4 linked regions of the Schizosaccharomyces pombe genome follow. The protein of the gene in region 2 interacts with the protein of the main gene of each other region in a pairwise test. Each region holds a gene or a part of one and is shown on either strand. Other genes may lie near its edges.

What was found.
Region 1: the proteins of sad1 (region 2) and get2 interact in binary tests that used the Schizosaccharomyces pombe proteins (3 or more experiments, as listed by UniProt).
Region 3: the proteins of sad1 (region 2) and apm1 interact in a two-hybrid assay, tested with the Schizosaccharomyces pombe proteins (3 studies listed by BioGRID).
Region 4: the proteins of sad1 (region 2) and lem2 interact in a two-hybrid assay, tested with the Schizosaccharomyces pombe proteins (3 studies listed by BioGRID, with this or other methods).

Annotation. Positions count from the first base shown.
Region 1 is NC_003421.2:186,933-191,302, reverse strand, and holds get2 (GET complex subunit Get2), read right to left. Parts: upstream 2,190-4,370; 5' UTR 2,045-2,189; coding exon 1,520-2,044; intron 1,460-1,519; coding exon 1,211-1,459; 3' UTR 902-1,210; downstream 1-901. Other genes in the region: kinetochore protein fta7, read right to left, coding at 1-65, 124-280, 458-573; vacuolar H+-ATPase assembly protein Vma21, read right to left, coding at 2,711-2,835, 2,889-2,980, 3,154-3,203.
Region 2 is NC_003423.3:2,301,206-2,307,486, reverse strand, and holds sad1 (protein Sad1), read right to left. Parts: upstream 3,722-6,281; 5' UTR 3,306-3,721; coding exon 1,761-3,305; 3' UTR 1,730-1,760; coding exon of another isoform or gene 1,247-1,729; 3' UTR 826-1,246; downstream 1-825. Other genes in the region: chaperonin-containing T-complex alpha subunit Cct1, read right to left, coding at 21-51; DNA polymerase delta subunit Cdm1, read left to right, coding at 1,247-1,729.
Region 3 is NC_003423.3:1,907,494-1,912,553, reverse strand, and holds apm1 (AP-1 adaptor complex mu subunit Apm1), read right to left. Parts: upstream 2,414-5,060; 5' UTR 2,375-2,413; coding exon 2,313-2,374; exon of another isoform or gene 2,238-2,312; coding exon 2,132-2,237; exon of another isoform or gene 2,062-2,131; coding exon 1,414-2,061; intron 1,336-1,413; coding exon 871-1,335; 3' UTR 739-870; downstream 1-738. Other genes in the region: fmo1 (flavin dependent monooxygenase), read left to right, coding at 1-418; ribosome biogenesis protein Nop8, read right to left, coding at 2,986-4,422; ribosome biogenesis protein Yar1, read left to right, coding at 4,882-5,060. UniProt on the Schizosaccharomyces pombe protein: Component of the adaptor complexes which link clathrin to receptors in coated vesicles. Clathrin-associated protein complexes are believed to interact with the cytoplasmic tails of membrane proteins, leading to their selection and concentration.
Region 4 is NC_003424.3:2,232,024-2,237,868, reverse strand, and holds lem2 (LEM domain nuclear inner membrane protein Heh1/Lem2), read right to left. Parts: upstream 3,592-5,845; 5' UTR 3,272-3,591; coding exon 1,205-3,271; 3' UTR 1,096-1,204; downstream 1-1,095. Other genes in the region: RNA polymerase I general transcription inititation factor subunit Rrn3, read left to right, coding at 1-873; protein Edc1, read left to right, coding at 3,782-4,720. UniProt on the Schizosaccharomyces pombe protein: Nucleus inner membrane protein involved in meiosis. Plays a role in regulating nuclear envelope (NE) morphology and nuclear integrity, particularly during spindle pole body (SPB) extrusion or insertion through the NE, and perhaps during karyokinesis.

The sequences.
Region 1 (4,370 bases), on a different chromosome or scaffold from region 2:
TTCAATTCCTGTTGAAGTACGTTAATATGGTCCAAATCACTGTATAATTGCTGTTCCAATTGCATCTAAAAATGTTAGTCATATCTCTTTCGTATGTATGCGTATCAAGACTTAATAACTTACATTCGAAGAAAGTAATTGAGAGAACAGTATTGACTCTTTTCTTTTCCTTGGTACAGGCAAATTTCTCAGAGGAGCTTCGATTTTTAAAAGTATATTCATGAACCATTCCTCGGCCAAAGATTTTCTTGTTTCTGATTTTATTGTATTCAAAACCAATCTGTTACGATAGCACAGTTAGCATACGTACACATAATGACTAAAAAAATTTGGAAAAGTACTTAAAAGACTTTTCCAGGTAAACATCAACAGCAAACTTTGATTTCCCTTTCAGTACACAAGTAAGCGCTAAAAAGCACAAGCACTTTTAGCAATAACATGATTCTCAATTACTTACCTTGAACACGTCCTAAAAATAATTATTATTTCTTGGCGCTGCTTATCCTCTAATGGACGCCATCTTTTTTGAATTTGGTCTCGACGCACCGCGCGAACGCGCCTTTTCATTTCCATTGCATATATTTATAAAAATGGTGCTACCACTTCAATTTTCTTTTAAGCAATCTGGAACTTAAATAGCAAAATATGTACGTATGGTTTTATATGAAAAATTTCTCTATAACAAGAATTCGCCGTTTCAACGTTTGCATGCTGTTGTAGCGCTTCGGACGAAGTTGTTTTACATATATACAGTCAACCAAGCCAATTCTCAATTACTTATTTTATTTCAATAATAAGTTGATAAAAGATTTTAAAAATCATAGTTATAATGTTTTCACAGCTATCCCAGAAATTACTTTAAGTAGTCTGTTTTTAATTAATACTACAATTACAATAAACAGAGCTTTTTAAATCATATACTATTGCTACCATTGAATTAAAAGAGAAAATAAATAAAACGTACCGACAATCGTAAATATGGCATGTGTTGCAAAGCAGTTCAAATGAAGTGCAGTATGTTTTAGAATATAAATCGTTTAGATGTTGAAAAGATAATATAAAATTGAATTCCTAAGGGTTTGAAAAGTCTTTCTCGCTTAATCAGTTAGTTTATTTCATCTAAACAAAAATTGAATGCTAATTAATCGATCACCAATTTGCGAAGCAAAACCAAGATTCATAAATAGTAAATGCTGAAAATTAACAACTATTAATACACCAACGACGGATAAAAATAGCAACATAAACCTAACGCAAATATTGTCATACACGCATCTGTAATCAATTGTGTGAAATACGGAACATAACTTGTTGTATGACGGATCATTGCTCCATAGGGAGGGGGAAGCTGAGAGGCCAGAGATGCTAGAAGAGAATAAGAAGGTCCATTATTACGGTCCAAAACAAATTGAATAGAGAACAAGCAAGCTTCGACAGTAAATGTCCACGGAAGTAATGGCTGAAATAAATATATTAGTATGCAAAAAAACAATTTCAAAAAAGGAAGATGAGGACTTACCAAATGTTTAAAATAACAAACAATCACTACTATAGAAATTGCCAAAAGATGAGCATATTTCTCAACTAAGTTTTTTAAAGGAGCTGTAGCTTGAGGAATTTGTTCGTTTTCACCTTGAAAATTTGTATCAGATCCCTCCTTTGCGGATTGTAACATAGCTTGAAAAAAATTTGCAAAATCAGGGTTTTGATTAAACATGTTTTCAGGTGGTACATTATATGGAGAATCACACTGAAGTTTAAAAGGCGAACTTTCCAAATTATGGTAATCTTGGGAAGGAAGATATTCCACTTGATCAGCATTGAAGGTATCATCTCTCTTTTCCATGAATCCTGAAGACATTGGCGTTACTGGTGTTGCAGTTTCAGAATGTACAGCTTCCTCGGAAGCTGTAGCTCGAACATCGGATTGACTGTCATCTGAATTCTGTCCCAAAATTTGATTGATTCTAGATGCACCTCCTTGTTTGATTTTATTCAGTCGACGTTCACGTCTAAGTCGAGCTTGTTCACTGGCAGTCGACATGTTCGAAGTCTTTGAATCAGCAGAAAACAGAATAAAATAAATAATTAACACCAAACTTTTTTACAGATATATATTTTTATCAATATTATATTGGGAAAAAATCAATAATGCTCACTTGAACAACTTTCCAATATACGAGGGGTTTGGGGTGAGAGAAAATAGTGATGCATAAGTGTTAGAAGAATACTGAATTCCTACAGCTGTTATGTTTGATAAGAATCATACATGTTAGCCTTATATTATAAAAAGGAAAATTTAATTATAAAATTGGTTGAAATTGCCATATCAATTGCATTTTGCTAATTCGTGTTTTTTGGGAAACTACAAAAAACTAAAGAACAGACACATATTTTCATTACAGACTAGCGAAAAATTAAACAAAAAAATTTCCGTTCATTAATTCAGATACAAAAAGGAGTAGTATCACCAGCAACAGCTTTGTGGTAGCACCTTATTCAATAGACATACATGCAAAATCCAGTAGATTATAGGATAGTCCCAGCTAAAGTCTTTCATTTTGCGATACTTTTAACGAAAAAAAATAAAGACATCGAATGATTCACCTAAATACGTTGGCAGAAGGAAAATCCGCTTCAAAATTTGATTTAGAATTGAAATGCAAAAGTCATAACTCAAAATAGTAGTAAAATGGTTACTGAAAATTTATTATTCCCTTTTTATATCCTTCTTGGGAGTCCCGGAGTCTTCGCGAAAGGCTGCGACTATATACAAGGCCAAGATAATATTGACCATTACAGCTGCAGATAATCCTGCGTACAATGTTTGATATCCTAAAACAAAATTTATCAGTAAAAATCAAAATTATTCAACAATTAGTATATACCTTTGAATAAAGTCTTCAACGTCCAAAAATAAGTTATAAGTGGTAATGTAAATAATGCGACACTAAAACCCACAAACTTAAGCAGAACATTACTATTACGAAAGTTAGTAAGTTTTCATTTCCAACATATTTAGTTAAGAATATAAAAGGAATAAACAATATAAGAGACCTAAGATTATAGACTGTTGTGGAAGGTTGTATGGAATTTCTTAAAACCAATTCGCAGTCCGGCGTAAAGAAATAAACTAATAATTAATAAACTTACGTAGGTATAGAGTTATTATTTGTATCTGAAACTTGGGATTTCCTTTCCATTTTAAATCACGAATGCAAGTTGTTGATGGTGGTGGAGACCTAATTTATTGGGACCTTGCTTTATAAGAGGTCAAAGTTTTGTCAACATGAAAAGTAGACAATTGATATTCGTATGTTGAAAGTCCCTGAAATTATTTGTCATCTTATTAAAATTTATTATCTTTGTTTATAACATACGGTAGACTTATACGTGCGACCTGCTTAATTTGTGTTTACATATAATAAAATACCTGGGCGACAAAGTCTCCAAATTCATAGTTCCTTGTTGAAATATTAAATTAATTAAATTAAATCGAGTAACAAATGTATGTTAGGGCTTGGTCGATGATCATAAATAAAACTGCAATTTACAAACTCACATTGAATTGTTTAGCAGGCAAGGGTGTATCAAACAGTGGTGATCAAAAAAGCAATACTCAATTACTCCTCTGTTATAACAAGTGATTTCACACCATCCATCTTCACTTGATACAAGCATTGCTATGTTGACGTTTTCATCAGCGGACGAGCGGTATAAAAAAAAGAGCAAATAGATTACTCAATGGGTATATTTTATGCATTAAAATTTACCATTTTAGCTTGAAATCAAACTGTTGAAGTAGATTTTTGAGGTAATAAAAAGCATTTAATATAACGATAAGATCAAGCCTAGGTTATGTAAGCTACGCAGTTTGGTATCTGATTTAAGGATACGTAGAACTGCGGTGAGTTTTCCTTGTGGTCTATTATATTACAATACACAGGTTGTATAAGTAGCAACTGAGTATAGGTATTGTATTAACTGGGTTATAATGTTACCTATCACTAATATAGCTCATAACTGAACTGAGGAACGAGGTTCAGTTGTAACGCTATTTATAATATTTCTAAATAGTTGTTATCAACGGGTATCTATGTATATAGACGGATAGTTACCCGTGATTATCAATAAACGGATCTTAGCTAGTATTCCAACATATGACATATAGTGATACGCAACGTAGTGTAGCATAGCGTAGTGTACTATTCCTGACAGGTTAAAGTATATACGGCATTGCGATAATTACCGTTAAAATCCAGTAAATTTTTTTAATTAACTTAAGACATATCCAGATTTAAAGAGTCCATTATTTTTTTTCTGCGTACTCCCGTAAGAGTCAGGCACGCCCCAAACACGAACCAAACGTG
Region 2 (6,281 bases):
GCGCAATATTGGATGCTTACAAAGAGTGGATTCTCTCGGTGCTTGAAACATTTCAGCTAGATTCGATGTTCTCCTCTAAACTGATTAACAATCTTTGTTTACACGTTTGGCAGACGTCGAGGGAGGAAGGTTCTTTGAAATGTACTAAAAGCATTCAAACCCTCTAAGTGTTACCTCATATAGCGTAATGTTACCCTCTTGGTGGAAACTAAAATTCTGCAACACAAACTACCTGTGCACTATTTGCAGCATAGGGACAATTAACAAATTCAATAATTTTGATTTACGAAGGATGTCTTTCACGTTTGAAAGCATTATGTAAATTTATCGACTGCATTAAAAAATATAACAATTTGGTTGACTACACTGTATTTAATGATAGTGCAGTTTAATCATTGAGAAAGCCCGGTCAGTTTGTTTACCACTGTATAACTAACAGTTTAAAAGCCCTTAAAAAAAGACAACTTAATGAAACTAGATACTTAAATTACTAAAAGCTGTAAGGGAATTGAAGTTTCAACTGTCTTTGTGCTTCAATTGCAGTGTAAAAAGTTACGCTGTTTTAGCAAAGCACAAAAGACAAATTTTGCAATACTCAAAGCTATTTAACTATAAATTTTTTAAATTTTGAAAATGTTAATAAGTATATCTATTTGCATTTACGAAATTGCCTATTTTAAATCGGTAAAGACCAAAACCCTTTTTAGAAACGTATTAAAGATATGTTAGGAAGGCTGGCAAGTGATTCAATTGCATGACCAAGGCTGGATTAAGACAACACGTATTGCTAAAATACTTGTATCTAATTATGAAATTTCCACAATACTATCTGAACTAATAACGAGTATTGTTTACTTCTTGTTTGCTCCAACAACGAACTAGAAATACCGAAATAGGGGTCGTCAAGAAGTTTCTATTTTAATAATTATCAATAATGCACTTAAATACTTGGACCTAAATGAATAATAATATATATGAAGGCTGATATATGTATAACGATAAAGAACGAGCGGATGGCTGGATACTTATTTTCTCGTCAGCGTGACGCATTTTAAACATCGCTATAGTAGTCATCTAAAGTTATATATACATATTAAAAGTACACTTGCAACCAAATGTACTTTTTCAGAGATTTCTTTTGGCCAAACAAACTAATGCTCTAAATTGAGTAAACACGAAAAAGAATTGGATTTATAGTGCACCTTTCATTCTAGTACCGCAGTGTTACAGAATTATATCACGCAGTATGAAGAAGCGCACTACTCAAGCGAAAAAATCAGGGCAAAACACTAATATTCGCGACGTGTTTCCACATGTAGTTCGAAGTAATTCAAGTCAATCCCACATAGGGAAGAAAGTGAGTTCTGAACAGTCGCCTACACCCGATGTTACAATTACAACCAAAACCTTGGATGAGAGAATTAAAGAAGACGATGAGCTTTCAAAAGAGGTAGAAGAGGCTTGGAATCAAATTATGGCTGAAAGGATTAGTGAACCAATACATTGTGAAAATATAACCAAAGTAGAGTTCATTTTGCATCACTTTGACACTACGGCAAGATATGGACCATATCTTGGTATGACAAGGATGCAACGCTGGAAACGTGCAAAAAACTTCAATTTAAATCCTCCAGAAACAGTGGGAAAGATATTGATGCTCGAGGAAGCAGATGAGGAAAATCGAAAAAGAGAATCGCTCTTTTATGATCTTCAAACCATTCCAGGCTAGATTATTTTTATATCTTACATTTTGTAGGTCTTTAAGATGAATCTTGACCCGTATTCTCTGCAGTACTTTCGGCTTTCTCACCTAAAGAAGGTATTGGTTGTTCGTCTGCATTGGGTACAGTCCCATGAACTCGAACTTGATACAAGCATGTGTAATTGGGATTTCCCCAGTTGCTTTTTATTTTTAAGATCACATTCTGTATCGGTTCAGCGACAATATAATTGGAGGATTCAAACGAAAAAGTTTGAATAGAGTCTTCCGTTAAAGAATATCTCGCCTTTCCCAACAATACAAACATCTTGCTGGACATTCCCTGAACCCACAACTCAAAGTCCTTGGGAGCGCTAGAAAGATCATGAGCAATCTTGTGCTGAACGTGCTCTATTGTGACATTGGTTACATATACAGGGCGTGATAGGGAAATTCCTAATTGTCCCTCTGAACCTTGAAAGCTCCAACACATCGCAACTGCGTTGTTGGGAGTTAATGCTATGCTAGGTTCGTGTCCTCTAACAACGAGCGAATCAAAGAAATAGGAGGTAAATCGTGGTATGAATGCAGATGGTCGTCTCACATAGCGTTTTGAGGTTAAGGCAGGTAGTACTTCCGCTCCTGTTGAGAGCAATGCAAAATTCGGCATGGAAACCGGATCGGTCAAGTATTTTCGAACCGTAGATTCGATGAAGAACTTCCAATCGTCATTTAGTTCAACTTCAAATGGGACCGATGATTTGTAATTAGACATCTCCTCCTTTAGCGACTGTTTTAATTGCTCTACTTTTTGTTGTAAAATCTTGTCAAATTCCTTTTTTGTAATTAAATCTCCCGTCGAATAATCGAATTCCTCATTGCCGCCAACTTTAGAAGGTGAATCTGTGAAGTCTTTAATAATATCTGGCTTTAAACTTGTTTTGGTGTCATTGGATGCAGGAGGAATGTTTGGTACGGGCGAATTAGATGGTTGGGAATTATCTGATGAAAATGATCTTGAGTAAAATTCTTGACCCTTGTGAAGTAGAGTAATTATTAGGAGAGTCGAAAAGAGAGTGATACCGAACCAAAGTAATGGTTTAAATTTTGAGGAATAAAATTGAGATTTCCTTGTAGATCTTTGATTCATCGGGTACCTAAAACTGGCATTTGTTGCGGTGGTATCCTCGTTCAAGCTATACCCTTCATCATCACTTTCCTCGTCGATGCTGTTTTCGTATTCTTCATTGACAAACTCTTCATCATCTCCATCTGATTCATAGAATACATTCGTCGAAGCTTCGTGTCCATTTTTCACTACGTTTTCAAATTCTTCGTTATCAGATTCCTCTTGCTCGTATCGAATATTAGAGTGGTAAGCCTGTTCGAAATTGGGAGCTGGAAATCTTTGTTTAGGAGTAATTGATTCAATGGACACCCTGGTAGGAGGGGACCTTATCTTTGTATAGCGAAGTTTATGCATTTTGGAGGCCAAATCAGCCGTATTTTGATGAATCTGAGCAGAGTTCGCTCCTAACGTCGACCAAGCTGGATGAGCGCCATTTTGACGCTCTCTTTTCCCTCCAACCGGTGTATTAGTAAACATTGATGTATAAAAGGCTATTTGAAAATTAAAAGAAAAATATACAAACGAATCAGTGATAAATAAATATGTAAAAAGAGAGACAAAAATTGAAAAGAGAGTATTGGAAGGCGAGAATTTGAATTAGTGTTCGTATTCAAAAAAGTGAAGCTTAAGTAGGATTCTGTAATTGAATGCCTTTTTGATCGCTTTATGCGAATGTATAAATTATTAATAACAGACGAATTATCGTTGACGCCTTTTTTATGTGAAAACAGATACCTATACACACAATGTATGTAATTGATCCTACCCTAGCAGAGTATACCTTTCTTGAGGTATCATTCCAATTCCAATACTGGAAAATTCCTTCACAAACAATAAAGGATACAATACCAAGATAAACACACTAGAAATGGACGGTACGAAGATTGACTGCTGAGAAAGAGTTTTGTTGTGTTTACGGTAAGTGTATACACTAAGAATTTACTACGTTATATATCGCTGACAATCGATAAATATTCATAACATAATATATGGAAATAAAGCGAGAAATATTTGATGAATAAAAATGGTAGACTGTTAATACAAGAGGGTTTGAACGCTGATGAATTAAGTACTTGAAGCTGATAGGATCCAAATCCAGCAATTCGCGTGTTTATATAAAAAACAGGTTTGGTAATTTAGGAGTTTTCGTGAGAGCATGGCAAAACTGTTCAGTGAAGTGAGAAGTTTGATGGATTCAAGTAATAAAGCAGCCTTATAAAATAGCAAGTTCCATACCTATTAATATTTTTACCACTATTAATATTACTTCGTTTGCATTTAGATTTCCAATTTTTAAAGAAAAAGAACAAGAAACCGATCATATGCTACCAAATTTATTTGAAAAATCAAAAGTATTCAGTATCGTTTCACTTTTAATCAGTTAAGTAAACAGATTTGGCATTTTGCTGTAGTAGTAGTTCAACGACTTCAATTTCTAGGCATTGAAAAAACGTTTTTGCGTTTGTTAGGGATACATTTCATCGACACGAGAATCTACGCCAATGATTTTCAAAAGCAAATTTCAACAATGATCAATTGAGTAAATAAACATTTAATAAACCTTTAATAAACCTTTCTACTGTTTAATACAACATTGCCGCTGAATATTATACTTTATAGTTCGTCAAAGTAGGATTTTCGCTTTTCATCATATAGCCAATGAAATTCGGGCATTCAGTCGCTTTCAAATTGCTTGAATATTGTGCCGATTGCGAAGGTAGCAGCAATACGCAACCATAAATTGTCTAACTAACTGCTTGTTTTTGCATACTTAGGATCCCATTTTACTGCGACACTGATACGGTCCTGTCAAAAAAAAATGAAACGAAAAATTTTCATGTTTTGAGCTTATTCATCGCTTGGTTTCACTACATTCAACAGAAACTGCACAATGTTGTATATAAGGAATCAAAGACAAGCTATGCGTAACTTTGAAAACGTCAGTATTTCAACAAGGACGAAATTTATGGCACGTTTAACTTCCAATTAGCCCGTATTGTTTTTTTGGCTAGCGAAAGTAATGAATTGAGGCAATGTCGAGTAGTATTGCACAACCTAGTATTTGATCCTGTGCGCTACATAATGAATCCTAATAAATAAAACCTCAATAATCAATCTGCTCAACCAACCGTCAAAAAAGGTTCAATCATTTCAATTACTCAACGTGGCGCCAAGTATGTCTCATGATTGTGTATTCATCTCACGACTTCATTTCATTTCTGTACCTTATACACTCACTCAGCTACTTCAGGACTAGGTGTTGCGACACAAACGAGAAACCATGCGCTGGACATCATTCATGGGCCGAAACCGATGTTAGCTTATTGAGCAACCCTAAAATCCGGGAAAACTTGTGATCCATCAAAGTAGATAGAGCTGACAATGTGGAATAACTCATATGAAAATTCAGACATTGTTTGCCGTTTACGATATCTCTCGCTATGTGGAATTGATCCGTTCGGTAAGTAAAGCAGTGCAACGTGAATAGCAAATTATCACCTGTGGGTGGTGAGTAAATAAACAAACGCCTAAGAATGAAAAAAATTTTTGCAGGTGGTTCAAGTCAGGATGCTATAATGCAACATCTTGTGAATCAACGTCGCATATCGTAATGGCTACAGCAAGGAAATCCCGGAGGAGATAGTTTTATTAACCAACGTGTCGGACCGCAATATTAACGCCGAAGAGCAGTTGTATGAGTATGTTCCTAAACGGTAATAGTAAAATTACTTTATTCACCGATTTGTAACAAAGCACACTAGTTATGGTAGGTTCACGAGCCGCTATTAGGTTACAAGCTACTGTCAGGTTAGAGCCATTGTAAGGTTATAAGTTACAGTTGGGTTAGAGCTTGTTGTAAGGTTAAAACCAGTGAACCATAGTGTAGTAAGAGATGTTAATATGTTAGAGCCATTGCTAGTGTGTAGCTAAATTCGCCCTAGGCACGTTGCTCATGTAGAGGAAGACACGAAACACGGATGAGATTCAATTGTTCTACACTTAATTGCATACAATCTTTAATAATACACTAATTTGAATAAAAAATAATTAAAATACATTTTACAATTATTTTATTACACGTGCACGCCAGACATAAGGGAACTCAGCTGGTATAAACATTTCGACACGAGCGCATTGACCTTACCAAGAACGCGTCTCGTCTATGTAAGAAAAGAGTGAACGCTCATAAATCAAACATGTAGCAGTATAGAAAAAAGTAAAACAAAAGTTATTCAATTTCGTGTAGTATCCTAATGTTTAACCATCTGTCCCAATTCCTTTTCCAAACGGTTTGCTCGCATTCACTAGCGACGCGAAAAACGCAACCAAACCAACGGCATATTGCTTGATATCTTTACTGTATACAATTGCAACGAATCTTGTTAACTGCTTCGTCTAATCCGTGCTAGTTGGTGTTTAGCCTTATTTACTTGCGGGTCAGCCATATCAGTT
Region 3 (5,060 bases), 390 kb from region 2:
GATTGATGATGGTAGTCATGTGCACAATGTCTATCAACATATATTTTATATCCCCGATCCAACTCTGGCTTTTGTTGGTTTAGCTCTACACGTTGTTCCTTTCCCTACTAGTCAAGCACAGGCAGCGTTCCTCGCGCGAGTTTGGTCTGGTCGCCTCAAATTACCCAGCAAAGAAGAGCAGCTGAAATGGCAAGACGAATTAATGTTTTCGCTGAGTGGAGCAAATAATATGTATCACTCTTTGGATTATCCAAAAGACGCTACCTACATTAACAAGCTACACGACTGGTGTAAACAGGCTACACCTGTTCTTGAAGAAGAGTTTCCGTCACCGTATTGGGGCGAGAAGGAACGAAGCATCCGTGAAAACATGTGGTCCATCCGTGCTAAGTTTTTCGGAATTGAACCTCCAAAGTAAATACGTACTTGAAAACTCATTACACCCTTAGACCTTTAAACTTTTCCCTTCAATCTTTTTCTTACTATCCGGTCTCCCTCTCATTCTCTCGCTTTTGGTTTTTAATTTATTATGTTTAGAAAACCGTTTGGAACAATCTGTCTTTTATGTATTTTTAATACACGGAGATTCACTACTGAGTAAATGGAATTGTATGTTAGAAAATCTTTATTTCTGTTTTAATAAAAACATTGAACTTATCCTTTATACAATAAATAGACTTAGACATTTATGTTTCAAGCAAATGCTCCTTTTATGTCAGCTGAGTAAGAAAAAGGATTAGCGCGTCTGCAAACAAGATTTCATTTCGTAATAAATGGGATCAGTACACTAAGAAAACAAATATATAGATGAAGGGAAAGGTATCTAAAGGTAGAAAAAAGAACGGAACGGAGAACCATCATTAGAAACATTTACTGACGGATGGAATATTCAGTACCATTTTGTGTAACATATCGAACCCAAGGCATAGCATGATAATTAAGTTTTGGTTCGGTGATTTTTAAATAACGAACTTGGATCCCTGAGGTAGTGAAATAGGGAATAGCAAATTTTAGTTGAACAGGACGTTTTTTCTGAACTTGAATATCTTCATTTTTAACACTTGGTAAACCCATTTCAGCACGCATGAAAAATTCTTTACCACCTGCAAATTTCTTAATGTTCCAAACCATGGCAGCTTGTTCAGGTGCATATTGCACATGACCATTGCTAGTTTGAAACCGAGGACTGTCAGCATCTTCCGGAACGGGAATGATGATTTGGACATTATTTGCAATACAACGCTTTTTGAATTGAGCCTTAGCTTTTACCATAAACTCAATTCTCGAACCTGAATGCACGATGGATTCACATTCAACCCAAATTAATGGCCGTACCTAACGAGAAATTAATATTAGAAAACGTTGATAAAGGAGAGAGGGAATAAAAAGAACAGGCACAAACTAATAACTTACATTTGAACTCATGCGATAGGACATTAAATCAAATTCGCCATCAGGAGGAATGAACGAAATTGTACGATCGTTTTCAAATCGAGCAAGACGAACACATTGGTGAAATTTCACATCTTCCATTTCCACAGTGTTTCCTTTAATGGTACGACCAGCCGCTTCGAAAAGGACCTTGTCATTGAGCCCAAGACGAAGTTCAGGCATTCCTGATAAGTAGCATTTGAGACGAACTTTTCCTAAGATTTCACTTTGAATGACCGTACCATCGGCAGCAGCAATTAAATTAACTGATTCAATAACGTCCAAAAATACTTCATTCTTACGATAGTGAATTCCTTCAGAACGCCAGGAGATAGCATTTGTCATAGCAATGGGGGGTGGAGCATGCTTTTTTACCGTATTTGAGGTTTGAGTGATGTATTCTTGCAAGATTTTTGTTTCAGTTGTTTGTGGAAAACCGAAATCCATGATCTCGTCTAACAATTCATAAACAAGAACAAAGTTATCTCGAATCGACTCTTCCTGCAATTCTTTAAAGTAATCTATAAAAACGTCCGCCATTTTACGCAAAAATACTAGCATCTCCATTGCATCGGAATTCATTTTGGATAAAGCAAGGAGGTAGACATCATTATGGTGAATGTAAATGTACTGAAAAGTGTTAGTACGACCATAAAAAAATAAGAATTGTTGGCTTTCATAATATCTAACTTTTACATACGTTAATGCCTTCGTGAGTGAGACAAGGGGTGGAGAATCCTTGTTCTTCTTCAACTTCTGATTTTAAAGGTAAAAACTTTTCAACTACTGACATGGGGATATCAGCTCTAATTGTTTTCTGTTAGTAACCTGTCGACGAATTGCGACAATCTGATTTTCATTCAGATTTCAAAATTGCCTACCGGTAATCACGGGAAATGATTACCTTTCCCTTTAAATTCAGAACGAATATAGCAGAAGCCATTTTTACAGAAGCCGCGAATAAGGCAGCTAGTTTCGCTCTGGATAACTAGCATTGACTGTTGGCTGCCTCATCACCGTGCCTAAGCACCGCTAGTGTAATACAGCGTAATTCACTATTTCTGTTTCTTACATATAGTACGAAATTCTTCTTATATTGAGTAATTACTACTCTATGCACACATTCAGTCTTCTTTTATAAGATAATCTATTCAGATAATTATAACTAATTTACATTATATGGTTTTGTAAATGCCGAAAAGGAAAATAATTTTTCTGACAATGTAAGAAAATTTCGGTATGTTTTATTTGACAACTTTGGCTTATAACAATAAGAATAACAAATATTTTAATAAAATTTGATCTCAAACATTGTAAATATTAAAAGCCACAAATCCCAAGAAAGTGCAACGAAAAAAGTTGTTAACTTTCACCAATGATAAAACCAAAGTGAACATCGTGGCTTTTTAAAAAGACACAGATTTTTTTCTAAAATAAAAAGGATAGAGAAATAACAACGTAAAGATTCCAAAAGTGTGTAAAAAATCAATATATACCTCGTAACCTTAAAATACCCAAATAAATTCCCAATAAATACATAACCTATACGCGTCTTTAAACAAGTCGAATACGCTTTTCATGAGCCCTTCGCTGTCTTTTTACGGCATCTTTTCTTTTTCGTTTGTAATCACGAGTTAAGAATAGACGATTTTCCGACCACCAGGATTCAAGAGCTTCTCTGCTCGTATAATCTTCATTACCTGGTTGGAATAGGGAAGAAGGATTGGGTAGAGTAAACATTTTTGGCCAACCCTTGGTACCCGATGAGGCTTTAACTATAGCTAGCGGAGTTTCCCCATCTGCCTCTTCTTCCATAGTTTCGTAATTACGGTCATCAATCTCACTTTCCATTTCACTTTCCTCACCAACTCCATTTTCATTGCCAAAAAGAGAAAACTTAGACGTATCCTGCGCATTGGAAGAAAACATTTCTTTTAAATTGTCAACGTTAACAACAGCAGTACGCTCATCAAATGCTTCAAATTCAGCAGGAACATCTATGTGTACGGACTCTTCCTTTTGTAAATTATCTTGTTCATCCAAACCTTCTTTTTGGAAATTATTAGTCGAATCATTGTCCAGTTCCAAAACACCTGAAGTTTTAGATACGGTATCAATTTCTTCTGTATTTTCAGAACCAAACAGTTCAGCTAACACAGATGCAGCCGTATCCTTATCTTTTTTTCGCAAAGCATCCAATTGCTCTTCGTTTAATTCTTTTGTGACTTCAATCTCCCCAGTTGTGTTATTAAGAAGTTCAAAATCGTTATCATCCTTCTGAGTAGAAGCTTTGATACCCAATTTTGCTTGCATACGTATTTTGTCACGAGAAGCTCTCTTACCCCCATATGATACATACTCATCATGATCAGAATCATAAAAAGCTGTAGTATTGTCCATATTCGTTTCCACTCGGCCCCATAGTTTTTGTAAGCAGTTTTTACCCAGCGGATAAAAAAACCTCGTTTTCTTAGTATTTTTATTATACATTCGAAGCACGACAATGGCCCTTCCATAGGGGCCTTTTTTCCAACCTTTTCTAGGAGGATCCTTCCGAACATCAGAATCCGTGACCACCTGCATATTTTTACTATGTTTTCCGGGAACAATTATTTCTCCATGAAAGACTGGGTCTTCCAGATCAACTTTGCTGGAGTGATCTTCATTTTTCTCATCATTATTAGTACTTTGAAGATCAGCAATTTTTTTTTCCTGCTGCAATTTTACTAAATAATAAGGGCGAGCTTCCTCTATACGAAGTTTACTTCCTTTAAACGTCGCATTTGATAAGTAAGACTTGCATTTCTGCCATTTATCTTCATCTGTTCGAAAATTCAAGTATGCAAATCGTTGTATAGTTCCTACTGGAGTAGATTTGTTTATAATTTCAAGATTTGAAACACTTCCAAAACGAGAAAATCTGGATTCCAAATCTGAAGATTCAATAGAGGATGAAAGGCCACCAACATAAATCCGTTTTTCTAACTCCATTATTGAAGTCAATTGATACAAAATGAGGACAAAAAGTTTCGCAGGTCAAAAAGAGTGTCTGAAATATAATGGGAAATAAACCCGAAAAAATAGTCTACCAATCGCTACCAGATAGCTATTTAGATGAGGAATCGAGAGCTGTGTGAGCAATGAAATTTTTTACAAGGAAAGCATATATACTGGTTTAAATCTCTATGACTTTCGGAAATAAACACTCCTGTAACTTCTTTTTCTCCTTCTTATAAATCAAAAATTAACCTGCTGTAGAAGGCAGGTTCTCGTTGAATAATTATATAAAATTGCAATGGAATTTGTGGTGTAGTAAGTAACCACGGCCTTGCCGAAGCCAAGTTGGAGAAGCCGCGGCTACCTTACACTAACAAACGAACAGTTTTCACATCATTCTCTTTCCAAATAAACCGGTAAAACATCCTTCTTTACTGGATTGGATAGTTTAATATGGATGTTGATGATTTAATTTACGCTTGTAGAGCTGCGGATGAGGAGTTACTAGATGAGATTATAGAGAAATGTCCACAAGAATTAAGTCGTCGTGATGAAAATGGTAACTCTGGACTTCATATGGCTAGTGCTAATGGACACATCGCTGTTGTTCAAAAAATAATCCCGTACTTGAA
Region 4 (5,845 bases), on a different chromosome or scaffold from region 2:
TTGATGCAGCAACTGGATCAGCTATTGTATACTTTATTTTCTTATTTAGATTCCAATTTAAAATCTACTAGTAGAGATCGTTACTTGGTTTATAATAGTTTGATTAAATCATTTGTGAACACGGTCCTTAAAACGTTCCGTTGTCGATATACTCAATTTTTGATATTTTGGGCTTCTCAGTTGGATCCCGAGTTTACTGATATTTTCCTTGGAGTGCTTACGGAAGTTTGTCTTGACCCATCACAACCTTATACTTTAAGATTAAGTGGTGCAATGTATATTGGGTCTTACGTTGCTAGAGCCAAAGCTTTAGAAAAAAATACAATTCAGATCATCGTTAATATGATGACTCGTTGGGTTGAAGCTTACTTAGATCAATGTGAAAACGAGCTGTCCGATGATTTACTATCTAAACACTCGGTTTTTTACGCAATTAATCAAAGTATTTTTTACATATTTTGCTTTCGTTGGCGTGAACTTTGTGTCTCTGATGAGTCTGAATCCATGGAGCCAAGACCTAACGAATGGATACCGGGCTTAGAGATACTTCATCGGTCCGTTCTTTCTCGGCTTAATCCATTGAGATACTGTTCCCCCAATATTGTACTTCAATTTGCAAAGGTTGCAAATCATCTCAATTTTATGTACGTCTATTCCATTATTGAGCAAAACAGAAAAGGAATTTTTAGAGAAGGGTTCGACACTATGGATGCCTATTTTCCCTTTGATCCTTACCGGCTTACGAAGTCTTCTATAATTGTTCAACCATTTTATAACGAATGGCAACAAATTCCAGGTTTGGATGATGACGAGGAAGAAGAAGACACAGACTACGAATCTTCAACCGTAATGTTGGGTGAATCTCCCTTTTGAATTCCTTTATTTTTTTTTAAATACCCTTTCTATGTGACATGTCCTATTTTTTCTCCGCTAATTTCTTACTCTAGACATGCCCATATTCAATCAAAAATGGTACTGGTTTTGGTTTTTATTTTAAAATAATTTATTTGGTATAACTAAGAATCACATTAATATAAGAAATACAGTTAAATTTCATCAACCTTGCAAACAAGTCCTCATTATACCAATTTTATGTTTCATTTTTAATATGTATAAGCATTCAGATAAATATATTATTAACTTACTTTTGTATTAGCTATGAAAAATGTCATAAATACAAAGCTAGAAATACAGTCGAGAATCATTATTCACGTAAAGGGGAAGTTGTATTAATAAATGAACGATCGGTTTGGAAATCCAAAGTATTTGTGCCGACCCACTCCCATACACGGGTCCATTCGCCGTCTACTTCTGATTCACGAGTTCTTACACTGCCAACTTGTTCAACACGTTCGACTATTGCTTCCCAAAGAGTTCGAGCAGTTGCTTTCGTCATATGAATTTGTTCCAATGGGCCATTTCCATGAAAGAGTATATCATGCATTTCGATTAGTGGTATAACGGGTTCTTGAGATCGAGACATTTGATAATTTGCTTTCTGTCTCTTCAAAGATTCTACACAGAATCGAGAAGCCGATGGTAGATACTTTGCTACGATACTGCGAGTACGAAAAAAATTGATGAGCTTAAAAATAACTCCTGACAACGCAAGGATTCCAAATAAAAAAACTTTGTTCCTCCAAACAAATTTTATCAGTTGCTGTTTTAAACGACACCGCAAAGGAATACCTGCCCAGCTATCGTAGCAAATTAATTTTGAATCCATGACAACTTCATTCGTTTCAGAAAGTACTGCCAAAGAAGCTTTAAATAAGTCCTCAAACATTTCAAGGCCAAGGGTTGGAGATTTTCTTTCAAGAAGCGTATCATGTAATAATCCTAACGCAAATGGTTTTGATGGGAAGGAGATATGATCAGATGATATATTAAGATTATCGGCGACATAAGGGTGCGCATTGTACGACATATTTCGTTCCAGCAAATCTGACGAGTTATTGCTACAATGCAAAATTGCATTCCAGGATCTTAATACACTTAAACATTCTTCACGAAAAATATTAACACTTTCTTCTCTAGAAGTATCACTAACGCAATACTTGGAGGGCCAAAATCCTAAACTTGAATACCATGGTTCGTAGAGGACATATCCGGGCTTGCATTCAACGTAATTTGGAGAGGGACATATTGCATTCGGAGGGCAAGTTCTACACAATGATGGAAAACTTATTCCAAGAATTGAAGCAGAACTTCCACTGGCACCCGAATCACAGAATCCTGCTGTAAACATTTTCTCCCGTAATAAAGCCAGAAAAATTGCTGCCACCACTCCTAATAAAATCATAAAAATATGCACTAAATAAGAAGAAGATATCGCGCTGATTCCAGGAAAGGCGCGCAAATTGTGAAGAAGACGATAATTGGCGTACTTAATGTCGTGAAATACTTTTTTAATAAACGACCAAAGTTTGCTTTCTTTTCGAGTCTGCTGCAAAACGTAATTTTGAAAAAGCTCGTCATCTTCCTCAGCAGAGTCTACTTCAGAATAAGGCGATGAAGATTCAGAGGGCCTTGCACTGTCAAGAGGAGCAAACTCGATATCTCGAGAGACTCGCTCAGGAACATTAGTAAAGGGTCGTTTATGTTGAAGAGGACTAGAAGTGGCTGAAGTTTGTAGACGATGTGATATTTTGGGAGACCTCAATTGTGGAGAAAAATTGTTTGAAGATGAAAGCAGCTTTAACCTCTCCGAAAATGCTGGCGAAGTATGTAAAGCAGAGCTATCCATAAATGACATAGGAACAGCTACCCTATGAGATTTATGCGAGCGAAATTTTGGTGTAGACGCGTGGGCTGGCGGAGTTTTCATAGTCAGCGATGTTTCCACATTAGGGCTCAATTCAGAATAGGACTGAAAGGTATTATTTTGAGAGACGTGCGGAGACTCTATTTTAACCGGGGTTTCAATGTTGCTAGGTTTGTCAATGAATTGTGGAGACAGAAGCGGTTCTGTTTCGTTGTGTGGCTTTTTCGTGCTTTTGGAAGGAGAGGAGGGATAAAGGTATTTAGGAGCTATTTCATCCTCGGAGCTAGACGCTTTTGAGGTGTTAGAGTTTTCCTCTTTTTGAAGATGAGACAATAAATGTTGTGGACCAGAGCTTAATTTGTTTTTCCGTATTCTATCCACCATCCTAATATACTCTATTTTTCTGGCATTCACAGGGAATGACACTCCCGATTCATGAAGGATCTTTTTCAAGTCTATGACACGAAGATTTCGCAATTCGAAGTTAGGGTCCTCCCAATTGTCCATGGTGAATAATTCAAACTGATCAAAAATGGTATAAAGCTGATATAAGCTAGTTAATTACATGAATCCTTATCTACATTAAAAAGGAAACCTGGCATAAGTTGCTGATTCGTGAACGTAATTGCAATCCCATACAAATTTATAATATTACAGCAATGAGCTATAATATACTTAGGAAATTGCTTGAATTCCACTGTTCAAACACACCTTTTCAAATTTAATAAAAGACTTCACTAAACGAAGGTAAAGCAATTTCTTATTTCTCTATCTTTGTGCCGAATCTTTGTTTTCCTTCTTTCTTTTTGCCAGTTAAAGTGGGTGGCAAATAATGGTTAAGGGAAGAAAGCTCTATAAGGAGGCATAGCGCAGCTCATTGCTTTGTGTCACCTCAGCCCAAATAACGTATATTGGGTAAGAGTGTTGCCCCCGAAGTTATCCTTAACCAACATCAATCACTAAGAATACAGAATCCATGATCATTAGGGATTACTCGAATTTTGACTATAGTAAAAAATGCAAAAAGACATTGGACGTAGATTTCAACGTAATAAGAAGAAAATTAATTCTAAACCGGGCGGAGCAATGGTTGCTTCCAGCGATGTCGAGTTCAGTTTAGATGGAATGTCGATTATGCCCCAACGAGATGGTAATCTCCAGATACCTAACTTTGTGAAACCCAAGAGTACTTTTGCTACTTCTAACATTGGTGAAAGCAATGGTAAGCGAAATGGCGATAAAGTACGCGGGAATCGACGCTCTAAATCTGGTCACAGTTCGTATGCTGGCTCTCGTATCTCAGGTGGCAATTCTAATTCCCACCTTCCTTCTGGTGTTGCTTCGGCTCCTGCTGGCTTAGGAATTGATAAGGTTGCCGTCGGAGAAGTTGATTCTCATTTGAAGTCTGTATCTTCTTACGTTTCCAATTCTTCCGGTGCTGATCGATCTTTTTCTTCGAATTCCTCTTCCGATACTAATTCCATTCTTTACGCCGGTCCTACATTTACTCATTCTCCGGCCGCTTCTAATCTTCCCATCCCTACGTTCTTACACTCTCCCGTTTCCGAAAAGGCTGAATGGCAACCTCCTACTGGTAGTGTGAACTCAAACATGCCTTTCCAGTTTCATCAATCTTCCTCTGTTCCTTCAACCCCATCCGAAGTTGCCATGGGTCATAATTTTTGTCCGATGTCTCGTAACGATCCCTCATTGCAGAGTATTCAACAGACGAATGGATTTTACAGTGGACACAATTCTCCTCATACTAACTATTCAGCTTCCACTCCTTCTTTTAATCACTTCAATGCTGCCGGCCATCCCACTGGTAACATTACCCCTACTTTGAATTCCCCTAATAACGGCATTCATTGTCATTCTACTTCTGCCCTAGACTTATTGTTTCATCGCGATCGTGAACAGCGCTTGTTCCGTATGCTGCGTCAAGGAAGTGCATAGTTTCATTGGATGCTTATTTATGTCTAAGGACATATCACCTTTTTAAGCCTCGTGTTCTGTTCTAACTATTCCACTTTTTTGTTTCACCTTCTTTCGTCTCCGCGTTTATCTACACGTGTTCGTTGTAGCACTATTTATTTGAACATTGGCCAAGAGAATTTATCATAGTCTAGTATTTTTGCTAGTATTATGACTTTCTTACTATCACCCTATGTACCTCTGTCTTTCTGTTTTTTTGGATTATAGAATTTAGCTCTCTATATGGGTTAATTTTGTTTCCTTCGCTTTTGGTTTTTAGAGGATTTCATACAAAAGCTACTGAATTCCTTTTCTAACGGCTTATAGTTAAAAGAAATGCCAACGTTTTTAATGGATTTCTTGGATTTGAAATCTTGATTTTTATTGACTAGATTTCCTTAACTTCATCTTATTCCTTGTTAGTTAATTGAGCGAGCAATTCATTTATAATATGGAAATGTTCGTCAATGACTATTTATCGAAAATGTGCCTCGTTTACTTTTCGATTTGTATGCTTAGAATGGGCATTTGTTACCTTTTTTATGAGCGTTGGGTGTTATGATCTGCATATTGCATTAATTTTATTCTGGCTAGTTTTTATTATGCTATTAATAATCTCGTTGTGCTTTTATCGAGATTTGTTTGAAACTTGTTTCACCGGTCTCGTACATTTTTTTCTCTTGTGTTTTTTTCTTTTAATTTTCCTAATTATTACTGACGTGTTGCCTATTGCTTTGCGATGACAGTACATCTTATTTTCCTGTGTCGAGGATTATAGTTATAATCTTCTTTTCCTCTCATGAACTTGGCTTTGGTTGCCAACCTTTTAAACTTTCGTCCATGATATACATGATGTTTGCTAATATAAGTGATATTTATGTGGTCACCTTTTTTGGCGAATGTTGTAACCTATCTTCTACGCTCAAGGAGTACATGCAATGTGCTTTATGCTTTTTTTTTTTTGAATGTTTGCAATTTTCAAGCCCTCGGTTTTTGAGCTTTCATTGCTAGTCAAGATAGTCAACTTATCGTTGATTATAATATCTTTCACTCGCAAATCGTTTTTACGTAAAGACTGAATTACGGCAACATTTATTGCTCTTATTT